Linked DNA regions of Oryctolagus cuniculus. The protein of the gene in region 1 interacts with the protein of each later gene in a biochemical or structural test. Links are inferred from orthologs where the notes say so. Each region holds a gene or a part of one and is shown in the gene's direction. Other genes may lie near its edges.

What was found.
Region 2: of the proteins of H1-5 (region 1) and PRKCD, one has a biochemical effect on the other in vitro, tested with the Homo sapiens proteins (2 studies listed by BioGRID). The link is inferred for Oryctolagus cuniculus from reciprocal best matches to the Homo sapiens genes H1-5 and PRKCD.
Region 3: of the proteins of H1-5 (region 1) and CCNB1, one has a biochemical effect on the other in vitro, tested with the Homo sapiens proteins (2 studies listed by BioGRID). The link is inferred for Oryctolagus cuniculus from reciprocal best matches to the Homo sapiens genes H1-5 and CCNB1.

The regions. Positions count from the first base shown.
Region 1 is NC_091436.1:169,836,724-169,841,713, reverse strand, and holds H1-5 (histone H1.5), read left to right. Parts: upstream 1-2,057; 5' UTR 2,058-2,113; coding exon 2,114-2,791; 3' UTR 2,792-3,872; downstream 3,873-4,990. UniProt on the Homo sapiens protein: Histone H1 protein binds to linker DNA between nucleosomes forming the macromolecular structure known as the chromatin fiber. Histones H1 are necessary for the condensation of nucleosome chains into higher-order structured fibers.
Region 2 is NC_091441.1:96,622,559-96,627,495, reverse strand, and holds part of PRKCD (protein kinase C delta type), read left to right. Parts: intron 1-3,470; 5' UTR 3,471-3,478; coding exon 3,479-3,593; intron 3,594-4,504; coding exon 4,505-4,704; intron 4,705-4,937.
Region 3 is NC_091445.1:90,151,492-90,155,288, forward strand, and holds the end of CCNB1 (G2/mitotic-specific cyclin-B1), read left to right. Parts: intron 1-261; coding exon 262-420; intron 421-631; coding exon 632-868; intron 869-1,756; coding exon 1,757-1,897; intron 1,898-2,297; coding exon 2,298-2,408; intron 2,409-2,513; coding exon 2,514-2,621; 3' UTR 2,622-2,733; downstream 2,734-3,797. UniProt on the Homo sapiens protein: Essential for the control of the cell cycle at the G2/M (mitosis) transition.

The DNA.
Region 1 (4,990 bases):
GTGACGTGCCGGAGGAGCTGTCTGCTGGTCGGTGCCCATGGCTACTGGGCGCAGAAACTTTGTGTCCGGTCAAACCTTTTTCAAGTTCCTAAGCCATAAAGATTTCCCCAGGTTTCCTGTCACGGTTTGGGGTTTCCCCTGCAACTATATATGATCCCATCAGTTGGTCTTTTTCTCCATGTTTTTGATCGGAAACGGGAACAAGAGCTTTCTCGCTGCGGCTCGCAAATAAGTTAACGACCCGTGGGCCAGAAGCCTCTTTAGCTAGGACAACTTGGCGCGCTTTCTACCAAGTGTACCTGCCCCCAACTTGTTTTCCCCTGTAGAGCTGAAACAGGGTGAGGCTCAACCTCAACGGCCAGCTACTCGCGTCTGATGTGTTACTCCTCCAGCTATTCGCCTACGGTGTGTTACTCTTCCCCTGAGGGCCTCAGCTTAGAAAGCTGTGAGGTTGGCAAGTGAGTAAAACCCGCACATGCACTCCCTAAAGAATGCTGGCTGCATTGTTAACCCCCAGAGCTCCCTAAGGATGGTTTTGGGGGTTTTCCCTGGTCCCTTTCTGAGAGCTGTGCTGGGGACGGTGAAAAGTGCTTAGTGCAAACATTTTCTTAGAGTTTCTCAAAAGGGCCTGTAGCAACATCTGTATGCCTGTGTGGAGGATTATAGAACATGGTGGAAAACGCGGGCAGTAAAGTTCACACATTGCAGACCACATCGTTTCGAACCGTTTAAAAAAGACGTAACAACTTAAAGATTGAGCACCACACAGAACAGGGCACTATCCAGTTCAGACTGCGGTTTGCCAACCTCCTGGGAGATTCTAAAGAGAAAATGGCCTGTACATCGCTGCACAGCTTTCCACTGGCACAAACTAAAATGATTTCAATATGGAACTAAAGTTGCTTGAGCTCCTTTAAAATGCTGCCTGCTCCCCCCTCTTCGAGAGCAAACCCCGCTCCTCATTCCGACCTCATGGCCTTCGTCTCAGTTGTTTCAGGATCCTTTTCTGAACCGTAAGAGCATTCAGCCTCTCGAAAACTGCAGCTCAGCCTTCCACAGTCAGTATCCAATTCGTCTTCCAAAAAATGAGTCTGCAAAAACACCCATACTGGTCCACCCTGGCTGCTTACAGAAAAGAGCACTTGTGATCATGTAGTTCACGCAGTGCTGTCGGAAATCAGTGCAGACATTGGGAAGAACGCTTCGGAGACCAGACATCACCCTACATCTTTAAGCACTCGTGCGCTTATTAGGTTACTAGGCGACCTGGTTCATTTTTCATACTTGAGAGGTTGTTTTGGTAATGCAAATTATCTGTTAAATATCATGTCTATTTTAATAGATTTAAACCAGCAATTAAAGTAAGTATCCTAATTAGGAAATGTACAAAATTTAGAGTTTGATTTCAAGGAGTTGGATTCTAAAGTCAAGGGCTTTTCTGACCCTCCGGTTGCTATTCGCAACAATCGCTCTGAAAACCCAGATTTCCCAAGCTGAAAACCTCATTCCCTGAAGACCTCCTCGGCCCCCATAAACTGTCTTTACAGCCAGTTCGGTGTGACCGGCGTGAGGCTGCAGACAGCCAGCTGCGCACTCCCTGTGCTACTTGCTACAGCTAGAAACAATGTTTCCGTCCAAACCAAGGAACCCAGCGCCGCTCCTCTTCTAGGAATCAAAGGCTGACACTAGGAATAAACCCTTCTAAACGCTGTTCGCTGGATACTTGTTCGAAATTTATTGCAACTTGCAACTAAGTAGCAGGATACCGTCAGCCCAAGGGGTTCTCACCAAACGCCGCAGGGATTTTTAAGAATATCCCGCCTCCATTGCGCTCGGTTGACGAACCCACAAACAAGTCCGTGAACCTGGGGGCTGGTTTCCTCCTTTGGAACGCCTAAGCGTCAAATTCCGTGCCGATGTTTTCTGCATTTAATCGAATTTCGGGGACGAACAAACACAACCTGGAGACGCAGCCTCGAGCGGCGGCGGCCCGAGGGCGGCGGATTGGACGCTCCACCAATCACGAGGCAGCGCCGGCTTATATAAGCCCCGACCCGAGCGAGGCGGCATCGCCAAAACTTGTGCTCTGGGCTCCGCAGCGACTCCTGCCGCCATGTCGGAAGCCGCTCCTGCCGAGACCGCCGCTCCGGCGCCTGCCGAGAAGTCCCCCGCCAAGAAGAAGGCGGCCAAGAAACCGGGCGCGGGCGCGGCGAAGCGCAAGGCCGCCGGGCCCCCGGTGTCCGAGCTGATCACCAAGGCCGTGGCCGCCTCCAAGGAGCGCAACGGGCTCTCGCTGGCCGCGCTCAAGAAGGCGCTGGCGGCGGGCGGCTACGACGTGGAGAAGAACAACAGCCGCATCAAGCTGGGCCTCAAGAGCCTGGTGAGCAAGGGCACCCTGGTGCAGACCAAAGGCACCGGCGCCTCGGGCTCCTTCAAGCTCAACAAGAAGGCAGCGTCTGGCGAGGCCAAGCCCAAGGCCAAGAAGGCGGGCGCGGCCAAGCCCAAGAAGCCCGCGGGCGCCACCCCCAAGAAGCCCAAGAAGGCCGCGGGGGCCAAGAAGGCGGTGAAGAAGACGCCCAAGAAGGCCAAGAAGCCCGCGGCGGCGGCCGTCAAGAAGGTGGCCAAGAGCCCCAAGAAGGCCAAGGCTGCGGCCAAGCCCAAGAAGGCGGCCAAGAGCCCCGCCAAGCCCAAGGCTGTGAAGCCGAAGGCCGCCAAGCCCAAGGCTCCCAAGCCCAAGGCCGCCAAGCCCAAGGCCGCGAAGGCCAAGAAGACGGCCGCCAAGAAGAAGTAAAAAGCTGCGCCGTCTGGCCACCGACCAAGCCCCAAAGGCTCTTTTCAGAGCCACCCAGAGACCTCTGGAGAGAGCTGTCTGTCCACCCTTCGCTCGTGTCCAGCCAGGCTCGCACGTAGCTATGTGGGCTTCGAGTGCCCTACCATTCCACGGAGTGTAGTGTCCCCCCCCACTCGCCTGTCGGGGGTAGCCCTCGCCACCTGGCCCCGGGGGACGTTGGCTCTCCAGGAGCGGTTTCCATGGCTCTGAAAAGAGCCTTCGATGCGGGCACAAGCCGACGCGCAGCTTTAAGCTCGTTGCGGATGGTAACTGCAGGTGCGCGTCTTGTTGCGCACTGCGTAGCCCGCCAGCTCCAGGGTCTCGGCCGCCAGGTGCACGGGCGCCCCCCCCGCTCCGCGCGGTTGCCCTTGCGCAGCAGCCGGTCCACGTGGCCCACGGGGAACTGCAACCCGGCCCGGGATGCCGCGTCTTGGCCTTGATGCGCACCTCGCCTCTGCCTGCCGCGTCCGGACATAGTTAAACACGCAGCCGAAAGCTGCAAGTAGAAAGTAGATTATGTTGCTGCTTCTGCTGAGCGCGAAGAGGTGGCCGTGCGATTGGCTCCTGCGCTGTTTTCATTTAGGCCAATGGAATAGGGTGATGTAGGGTAGAGCCTTCGATTGGGTGACGCATATGTGACGCAGTCGCGGACAGCTAGCTGCCTTGTGTTCTGTGCATAGCGTCCCGTAAATGAAGAGCCGTGGCGGGCTCTTCTCGCCGCCCTCCGTAGGCTGGTTTGTCTTTGCGTCTCCCTCTTGCCAGGAGCTAGGCTGCTAGCTCACCACCAAGGGCCAGTGCAGGCGCATCCACGTACGTATACAAGGCACACCAGCAGGAGCACCCCGACGGCTGCCACTAGTCCTATGCCTCGGGCGTCATGACATCGGGGACCTAGCTTTAATCGGCACAAAGATGAACTAGTGATGCTGAAGTCGAGAAGGAGAATGAAGTTCAACCCAATGAATCCCCTTTTCTCACCAGTTAGGGAGGGAGGGTGGGTCCTCGCCGCTACCGCAGGTGCTGGGCCCGCCATTTACAGGCTGCCGGCGCCTCTGAACGCCTGTCCCTGTGGGGCCGAGGTCCTCTCGCCTCCCCCCGCCTCCATGCCTTTCCCGCGCGGTTCCTCTATCTGGAGTTCCAGCTCCCGTTCACGCTCCTGTTAATCTTTCCCTTTAAGGGACGGCGTTTACTGTTTTCACTTGGTCGCCGTTTTCCGTCTTTTGCGTCTCTGAATCGGCCCCAGGCTTCATTTCCCGCTACTCCCCCTTACTGTGTTTTCCGTAAGAAGGGAAATTGTAAACCAAAAGGCCAGGAGGCCTTTCCTCACGTGCAGGCTCGCAGCGTCCCGGCTGGCAGAGCATCTTGCCTTTGACGTTAAATTAATCGGTGTGGAAACGACGTTCTGCAAACTGCCCAACACCGTCACCGTGCGTGTAGGTATTGAGCTTCCTGTGGCTTCATGCTTCAGGAGTCTCAGAAGTGTACATCCTTTCTAGACTGCCTTTTCCTTTGTAATCCATTTCTAACCAGCATTGCCTGTCTCCTCTATCATGGCTGGCTTATGGGACTTTCACTAGTATCCAGCTTTGAAATCAGGAGACCAGTTCCTAACACATACGGCCACTTGAAGACAAAGAATTTGGCTTCTCTGAAGCTCAGTTTTATGACCTGGAGGAAACAGCAATTCATGGTTCCATGACTGACCTGAGGAGCAGTGAGAATACTTTTGGAATTAAATTGGCACATATTTTTCAAAAAGAGAAATCTTATATGAAAATTCACAGCATTTGAAAATTTTCTTGCACTAAAATAAACTTTTTGTTCTCATTTTTTAAAAACTTTTTGCAGCGCCTTCTATTTGGCATTTTCAATGTTTCACGCACCCCCATTTGCTCACCAACGTCACATTCAGCCCGTGCGGCGCTGGCTGTGCTGTGTTTCAGTTCATTTCCACTTCCAAAGCTACTTAGTGAGTGTATGCTATGTGCCAGGAACTCCCCTGAGGTCAAAGAAACATAGCTGTATAAACAGGAAGAGTTTATTCGTTGGATATTTTCTGATGGGGCTGATACATTAAAGACTGTCAGATAATATTACATTTGTAGGAAGGTGGAAAGCAACACAGAAAGGAGACAAGGGAGAGGCTCTGCCTTTTCCATT
Region 2 (4,937 bases), on another chromosome or scaffold:
GCCTATTTGCATGGGGGCTATAAATAGTGGGCGCACCTTGTTCTTGTGCTGCTGCTTCACCCCCTCGTCTTGCCCCTGCCGTTGAGCCTCTGCAAGGTAGGGGGAAAGGCTCTGGCCCTGTTGTTCACAGGAGGGGGTGGGGGAGAGGGCTGTGGCCCGGAGAGGACCATGACCTCTCTCTTGGGGTCACACAGTGATGGAAGCAGCTGCTGTCTTCCTCCTGGGAGTGGTCTGTTGAGAGCAGAGGAGGTAGGAGCAGCTGGCCAGGGCCCTTGCCCTCAGTGTTAGTCCTAGGACACGGGACAGGGTAGTCTGACCCAGGGTTACTGCTGGGTGGCCCGTGGCAGCCCACGAAGGCCACGGATCCCCTGCCTTCATGGCACTGCGGCCTGGCTCTGTAGGTTGAGGGCTGGGGCCCGGGCCTGCTGTGGTTGTGGTTGTGGTTTCCTTCCAGTGGCTTCTGACTGAGCAGCAGCTGTTCTGAGTGTGACCGTGGAAAGCTGGGGGACAGCCCGCGGGGCTGGGTCCTGCCTCACCCGGCTGAGGCTTCTCTCACCCAGAGGCAGTCTCCTCGGAAGCCACAGAGCCTGCGGGCAGTCAGGGGCCAGTGGGAGGTGGTGAGGAGCAGCACAGGCCGAGTTGCTTGTGTTCCTGGAGGTTGGGTCTGCCTGTCTGAGAAGTGGGTCAGTAGCCAGGGCTTCTTCCCAGGCTATTGGGTGGCTGGGATGGACACTGAAGGTGCATGGGAGAAGGATGGGGTGATGACAAGGGGACCCCTCCCGGCCCTCATCCCACAGGAGCTGTCATCAGCATGACGGCCTGATGCAGAGGAGGGGCTGCTTTCCATCTGCAGGAGGGGGTGACAGCCCCGAGAGGCCAGGGCCGAGGCAGACTTGGTGTCAGAGTCTTGTGCCTAAGCAGCTGGCCATCCTTTTGCCACTTGGGCTGCCCTGATCCCCACAGGGTACTTGCCCCTCCTTTATTTCTGCCTACCTGCCCTCACTTGGCACTCGTGCCCAAGCTGTTTCTAGGTTATCCTGCCGGAAAGCACAAGGCCCCAGGCAGGGGGACCCAGACCTGTGGTGAGCGGCAGCAGGGGCGGCCCCATGTCTTCCTTGCCTGCCGATTTGGGCCTCACTTAGCCCATGCACAGGCTAGAGACCAGCCCAGTGCACCTTGGGTTTTTGCTGCAGCTGTTACTGAATGCCCACCGTGGGCCACGCACCCCTAAGGCCTCGTGGGCACACACACCTCACGGCTGCACACTCATGCTCACATGCACCTGTTACCCCACGCACATAAACACACACTGTTCCGTGTGTCAGCCCACGAAGGAGCACGCAGCAGCCCCCAACCAGCTCCTGCTCTCTGCTGACCAAGAGGTTGTGAGCAGCTGGCCTGGGCTCAGGCATGAGCTTGTGTTTGTCTCTCACACCCACCCTAAGGAGCCAAGCCTGGGCAGGGGCTGTGCTGGGGTCTGCTGCTCCCCCTGGTTCCTCCTGGCTCTCTGGCTGCTGGCTGGAGAAGGCTGGCCAGGTCCACTGAGCTGGGCTGGGCTACAGGCTGAGGTCAGAGTTTCCTGTGAGCTCATCTGGGCTGGGTGCTCCCAGCAGATCTGCCTGCCACTCTTGCTGCCTGTCAGGGAGCTGGAAGGAGCCATCGCCAGGGCCAGGCCACTGTTCGTGTGTACTCGGATAGGGTAGGGGTACGTGTCTGCTTTTGTCCAGCTGCTGGGTCATGTTCAGGATAGAGTAAGTCCGTGTGTGTGTGTGTGTGTGTGTGTGTGCATTCACACAGCCTTCATTAAGGAGCACCTTGGGCTGGGAGCCCGTGTCCATGCAAGAGTGTGAGTGTACATGATGTTCAGGCTTGCACACCTGAGTGCCTTCCACAAACGGCAAGCTGAGAAGTCTCTCTGGTCCTCTCCTGTAGTGATTTGGGGGATGGTGAGGAACAGGGGAATGCGGGAACCAAGCTGTGTGACCATGTAAAGTGCTCTTGGCATTACATTCAACTTTTTTTTAAAAGATTTATTTATTTTTTGGCCGGCGCCGCGGCTCACTAGGCTAATCCTCCGCCTTGCGGCGCCGGCACACCGGGTTCTAGTCCCGGTCGGGGCGCCAGATTCTGTCCCGGTTGCCCCTCTTCCAGGCCAGCTCTCTGCTGTGGACAGGAAGTGCAGTGGAGGATGGCCCAGGTGCTTGGGCCCTGCACCCCATGGGAGACCAGGAGAAGTACCTGGCTCCTGCCATCGGATCAGCGCGGTGCGCTGGCCGCAGCAGCCATTGGAGGGTGAACCAACACAAAGGAAGACCTTTCTCTCTGTCTCTCTCTCTCACTGTCCACTCTGCCTGTCAAAAAAAAAGTTTTTTTAATTAAAAAATTTAAAAAAATATTTATTTATTTTTTACTTGAGAGTCAGAGTTACACATAGAGAGGAGAGGCAGAGGCAGAGGCAGAGGCAGAGGCAGAGGCAGAGGCAGAGGCAGAGGCAGAGGCAGAGGCAGAGAAAGAGAAAGAGAAAGAGAAAGAGAAAGAGAAAGAGAAAGAGAAAGAGAAAGAGAAACAGAAAGAGATGGTTCACTCCCTAATTGGCCACAACAGCCAGAACTGCGCCTATCCAAAGCTAGGAGCCAGGAGCTTCTTCCAGGTCTCCCACGCGGGTGCAGGGGCCCAAGGACTTGAGCCATCTTCTACTGCTATCCCAGGCCATAGCAGAGATCTGGATGGGAAGAGGAGCAGCTGGGACTAGAACCGGCGCCCTATATGGGATGCTGGCACTTCGGGCCAGGGCATTAACCTGCTGCGCCACAGCGCCAGCCCCACATTCAACTTTAAACTACGGTTTTATATGAGAGGAAAGTGAGCCTGAAAATGCGAGCAACCTTCCAGGCAGGCGGGCTCAAACTCAGAAGGGTCAGGGCACAGCTCTGCCTCCCTGGTCCCTGCACAAAGTGGATGCGAAGTCAGTGGGTTCCCAGCTGTCGGCTCTGGCTTGGCCTGAGTTTCAGTTTCATCTTGTGAAAAGCGGGCGTGCTCCTCTGGGCCCTGCTTGTCTGCCTGGGCAATTGTGAGTAAAGCAAACGAAACCACCAAGAGCTGCAGGGGTACCTGTCCGTGCCCAGCAGTGGCGCTAGTGGCTCCCCAGGTGAGTGTGTCTCAGGGTCACAGACTCCAGGGCCTCCAGCGCCCAGGTAGGCTCTGGAGAGGAGTGGAGAGGGTGCTCCCATCCGGGGGAGCTCCGCCAAGGGGGCGGCCATCCCAGAGCCAGCTGCCTGCATCCAGAGGGCCTAACGGGCATCGGATTTAGATAAAACTTGTTAATTTTCAGTTTGAGCCACGAGGACCAGTGCATTTTACACGTCTTGGGGTGTGAGAGTCCTGGGCTGTGGGTCTCTGAGGTCTTGTGAGGTTGTCCTCGCGGCCTAGCCTCACCCCTGTGTGTGTGTACCCTCCCCCACCCCCCGCAGGCCCCACCATGGCTCCCTTCCTGCGCATCTCCTTCAATTCCTACGAGCTGGGCTCCCTGCAGGTGGAGGACGAGACGAACCAGCCCTTCTGTGCCGTGAAGATGAAGGAGGCGCTCAGCACAGGTAGGGCGGGGCCTGCAAAGGGGCCTGGAGGAGGCCTTGCCTCATTCCCTAGGAGCCCCAAGGGGTCCTTCTGCGCTTCATCCTTTCTGTCCCCACCAGCTGTGGACGCAGGGACAGAGAGGCAGAGGCCAGCAGGTGTCCAGGGCCTGGAGCACCTGGTGAGACGGGACCCTGCTCGGGGCTTGGTTGTTTCCCTTCGTTGGTGCTTCTCCCCAGCAGCTTCCATGTGTGCACCCCTGCCAGGTCCTGTGCTGGGCTCTGAGGGCCTGACTGGCCTGCCTGCACATGGCTCACGCTCAGGCCGGGCAGCTGGGCACCTCCGTGGGCAGAAAAGCCCAGAGTAGGCCCCGTTCCAGCCTGGGGCCAGGGAGGGCCTCCTGCACGAGGCACACAGCTCACACGCTTCCCTCTTGCTTCTGCCCCCACTTGGAGAATCCCTGCTCACCCCTGAGGTCTCAACTGAGCTGTCCCTTCCTCCAGGAAGTCTTTCCCGACCATTAGGCTGGGGCAGGCCACGGGCATGACTGGGTGGGTCTGGAGCCGCTGTGACTTAGTGGTTACTTGAGAGATGGGTTGGTTCTTGTCTGCCCCAGGGCTCCGGGACCACAGGCCCTGGGTTTAGCTTTTCCTTCTGCGGCATTCCACACTCCCAGTGCTACGGCAGGCGAGCGGGAACTCTCGGCTGCGTTGCTGAGTGCATAGGGAAAGGGGACATTGAAGAGGCACGAGAGGCTCACGGGAAGAGGGAACAGCAGGAGTGCAGTGGGGCACACTCCAGGTGCGACAGGAGCGGCTGCAGGGAGTCCTCAGGGCAGAGGAGGCAGCGGGTTCGGCCAGAGCTGAATGCTGGGTGGGTGTGAGGGTAGAGAGGCAGGGGCTCCAGCCCGACCCGGCCCACTGCCCCTTGGCAGAGCGTGGGAAGACACTGGTGCAGAAGAAGCCGACCATGTACCCAGAGTGGAAGTCGACGTTCGACGCTCACATCTACGAGGGCCGGGTCATCCAGATTGTGCTGATGCGGGCGGCCGAGGAGCCCATGTCTGAGGTGACCGTGGGCGTATCAGTGCTGGCCGAGCGCTGCAAGAAGAACAATGGCAAGGCCGAGTTCTGGGTGAGTGTGTGTGCGTGTACGTGTGCGTGTGCATGTGCGTGCGTGCTCAGGCTCGGCACTACTGGGCCCTGTGCCCACCACCAGAGCTACTAGGAGCCCCCCACCCCCCACCCTCAGGGTCGTTCCAATGAAGTGCGCCACTGGGTGTCAGAAGCTGGTCGCAGAAGCTGACCCGTGGTGGGTGCTAAAGGAAGCTATCTTCATTGGTGATTGAGACCACTTTGCTTTGTTTT
Region 3 (3,797 bases), on another chromosome or scaffold:
GCCACCCATTTGGGAGACCTGGATGGAAGTTCCTGGCTTGGGTCCTCAAGCTGTTGTGGCTATTTTAGGAATGACCAATGGATGGAAAATCTGTCTCTCCCTCTCTCTCTAACTCTTTCAAATACATCTTTAGAAAAAGAAGAAAACTTGGGTTCTAAATGCCCCCAGAGCAATTTTGTGTGGTAACTAACGGTTCTTTCTGAAATATAAGTATCACAGAGAGTCTTGCTTTTGAGGGTAAATCTGCATTTTCTTTTGCAGGAAGAGCAATCAGTCAGACCGAAATACCTCCTGGGTCGGGAAGTCACTGGAAACATGAGGGCCATCCTAATCGACTGGCTAGTCCAGGTTCAGATGAAGTTCAGGCTGCTGCAGGAGACCATGTACATGACTGTTTCCATAATTGATCGGTTCATGCAGGTGCGCATAAGTCATTAATTGAGGGTTCTCCCTTCAGGGTCTTAGCAGAGTCATAAGAAACTGACTTTTTCAGCTAAAATTTGTCATGGGGCATAGGGTGTCATAATTGAGACACCCTATGAGTGTATGTCTTTGCCCACCTCTGCTTCACAGCTCTTGTGTCTGCTTTTCAAACACATTACCTACTCAGCAGTTGCAATTCCCATTGCAGGACAATTGTGTGCCCAAGAAGATGCTGCAGCTGGTTGGTGTCACTGCCATGTTTATTGCAAGCAAATATGAAGAAATGTACCCTCCAGAAATTGGTGACTTTGCTTTTGTGACTAACAACACCTACACTAAGCACCAAATCAGACAGATGGAAATGAAGATTCTCAGAGTTTTAAACTTTGGCCTGGGTCGCCCTCTCCCCTTACACTTCCTTCGGAGAGCATCTAAGATCGGAGAGGTACAGATAACGAGAGAACACTGCTACACCTGTATTTAAGTAACAAGCCGCACAAGGAAAGAATAATTGTTTCAGTCAGGTTGTATGTTAATTAATAGTAAGACCTTCATGGGCAATTGCATTTTGTAGTTACAGATATGGGCATGCAGGTTTTTGTCAACATTAAAGTCTCTGGGCTGGCGCTGTGGCTCACTTGGCTAATCCTCCACCTTGCGGCGCGGGCATCCCGGGTTCTAGTCCTGGTTGGGGCATCGGATTCTGTCCCGGTTGCTCCTCTTCCAGGCCAGCTCTCTGCTGTGGCCAGGGAGTGCAGTGGAGGATGGCCCAAGTGCTTGGGCCCTGCACCCGCATGGGAGACCAGGAGAAGCACCTGGCTCCTGGCTTGGGATCAGTGCAGTGCGCACTGTAGCTGCCACTTGAGGGGTAAACCAATGGCAAAGGAAGACCTTTCTCTTTGTCTCTCTCACTGTCTTAACTCTGCCTGTCAAAAAAAAAGTCTCAGGCCGGCGCCGCGGCTCACTAGGCTAATCCTCTGCCTAGCGGCGCCGGTACACCGGGTTCTAGTCCCGGTTGGGGCACCGGATTCTGTCCCGGTTGCCCCTCTTCCAGTCCAGCTCTCTGCTGTGGCCGGGAGTGCAGTGGAGGATGGCCCAAGTGCTTGGGCCCTGCACCCCATGGGAGACCAGGAGAAGCACCTGGCTCCTGGCTCCTGCCTTTGGATCAGCGCGGTGCGCTGGCCGCAGCGCGCCGGCCGCGGCGGCCATTGGAGGGTGAACCAACGGCAAAGGAAGACCTTTCTCTCTGTCTCTCTCTCTCTGTCCACTCTGCCTGTCAAAAAAAAAAAAAAGTCTCTGAGAGAAGCTAAGTGATGTATGGACTTTGTTCCAGGTTGATGTTGAGCAGCATACTTTGGCCAAATACCTGATGGAACTGACTATGCTGGACTATGACATGGTGCACTTTCCTCCTTCTCAGATTGCAGCAGGAGCCTTTTGCTTAGCACTGAAAATTCTTGATAATGGTGAATGGGTAAGCATTAGCTCAGAACTACTAAGCTTTAAATTGCAAATGGTGTTTGACTGAATACAGAGTCTTTGTCATAAAGAAACAATTCTATTAGTTCTTACATATGGAACTGACTGAAGGACTAAGACCATCTTGTGATGTCTTTTTCATAGCATGCTTTTATTTTGAATTTATATACCCCTCTAAGAAAGGTAGAACAGCTGTCACTGCTTACAGATGGAGAAAAAAGTCGGCAGTTACAATAATGTAATTAGGTTTGAGCCAGGAACAGAAAAAAGCACCTGGGGTAGAGGTGTTAACGCTTATTCTAAAGTTTCGATTATAAGTATTCATTTAGTATCTTGAGATTTTATGCACATCTTCTTGTTGAGCACTTTTTGACACATATTTGTCGTTGTCGCAGACGCCAACCCTACAGCATTACCTGTCATACACCGAGGAAGCTCTCCTTCCTGTCATGCAGCACCTGGCTAAGAATATAGTGATGGTGAATCGTGGGCTTACAAAGCACATGGTGAGTCAGTCGGTGGCGTTGCAAGATGCCAGGGAAAACGATGTAAATGCATAACTTATTTTTACAGAGTTTGTATTTTTAATGCCTTGTGGTTTGCTTTTCCAGACCATCAAGAACAAGTATGCCACATCTAAGCATGCTAAGATCAGCACTCTAGCCCAGCTGAATTCTGCACTGGTTCAAGACTTAGCCAAGGCTGTGGCCAAGGTGTAACTTATAAACTTGAGTTGGAATACTGTATCTGCAAATAAAATTGGCACCATGTGCCCCTGTACATATTATACTACATTTACTTTTAATAAAGGTTGTAACCCTTTTTACTTTTTATGGCTGAACTCATTTGAATGTGGTTACTTCCTACTTCAGGGTAACCTAAAAGGTGTGATGGGAAGTAATTTTTAAATTTGTTTTGATTTACCTGGGGATCTAAATAATGTATATAATAGTCATCTGTATGTTTTATTTTTATTTTTTTAAAGATTTATTTATTTATTTGAAAGAGTTACACGGAGATAGAAGGAGAGGCAGCAGAGAGGTCTTCATCTGCTGGTTCACTCCCCAGAGGGCCACAACGGCCAGAGCTGCACCAATCCACAGCCAGGAGCCTATTCCAAATCTCCCACGTGGGTGCAGGGGCCCAAAGACTTGGGCCATCTTCCACTGCTCTCCCAGGCCACAGCAGAGAGCTGGATTGGAAGAGGAGCAGCCAGGACTTGAACTGGTGCCCATGTGGGAGGTGGTGCTTAAGGCCAGGGCTTTAACCTGCTGCACCACAGCGCAAGCCCCCATCTGAATGTTTATATACTTGGTTCTTGTTTTATGTGCCTGGCTTTTACTTTATTAACATGAGTTCCTGAGGCAGTAAAGGTTTCTAAAACTTGCATGGGGTATCATTCTGGAGAATTTTCTGCCCTGTTTTAAAGTGAAAGTCTACTACCCCGTGCCTGGTGCCTTCTTGCCTGTTTCTTTGCTGCTGCTGCTGCTTCTGCCATAATTCTAAATGATTCATGACCATTTCTTGAATTACAGCCCTAGCATGTTAAATTTTCTCACATTGACAAGCAAAAACTTTTTTTTTTTTTTTTTGACAGGCAGAGTGGACAGTGAGAGAGAGAGACAGAGAAAGGTCTTCCTTTGCCATTGGTTCACCCTCCAATGGCCGCCACGGCCAGCGCACCGCGCTGATCCAAAGGCAGGAGCCAGGTGCTTTTCCTGGTCTCCCATGGGGTGCAGGGCCCAAGTACTTGGACCATCCTCCACTGCACTCCCTGGCCACAGCAGAGGGCTGGCCTGGAAGAGGGGCAACCGGGACAGAATCCGGTGCCCTGACCGGGACTAGAATCCGGTGTGCCGGCACCACAAGGCGGAGGATTAGGCTAGTGAGCTGCA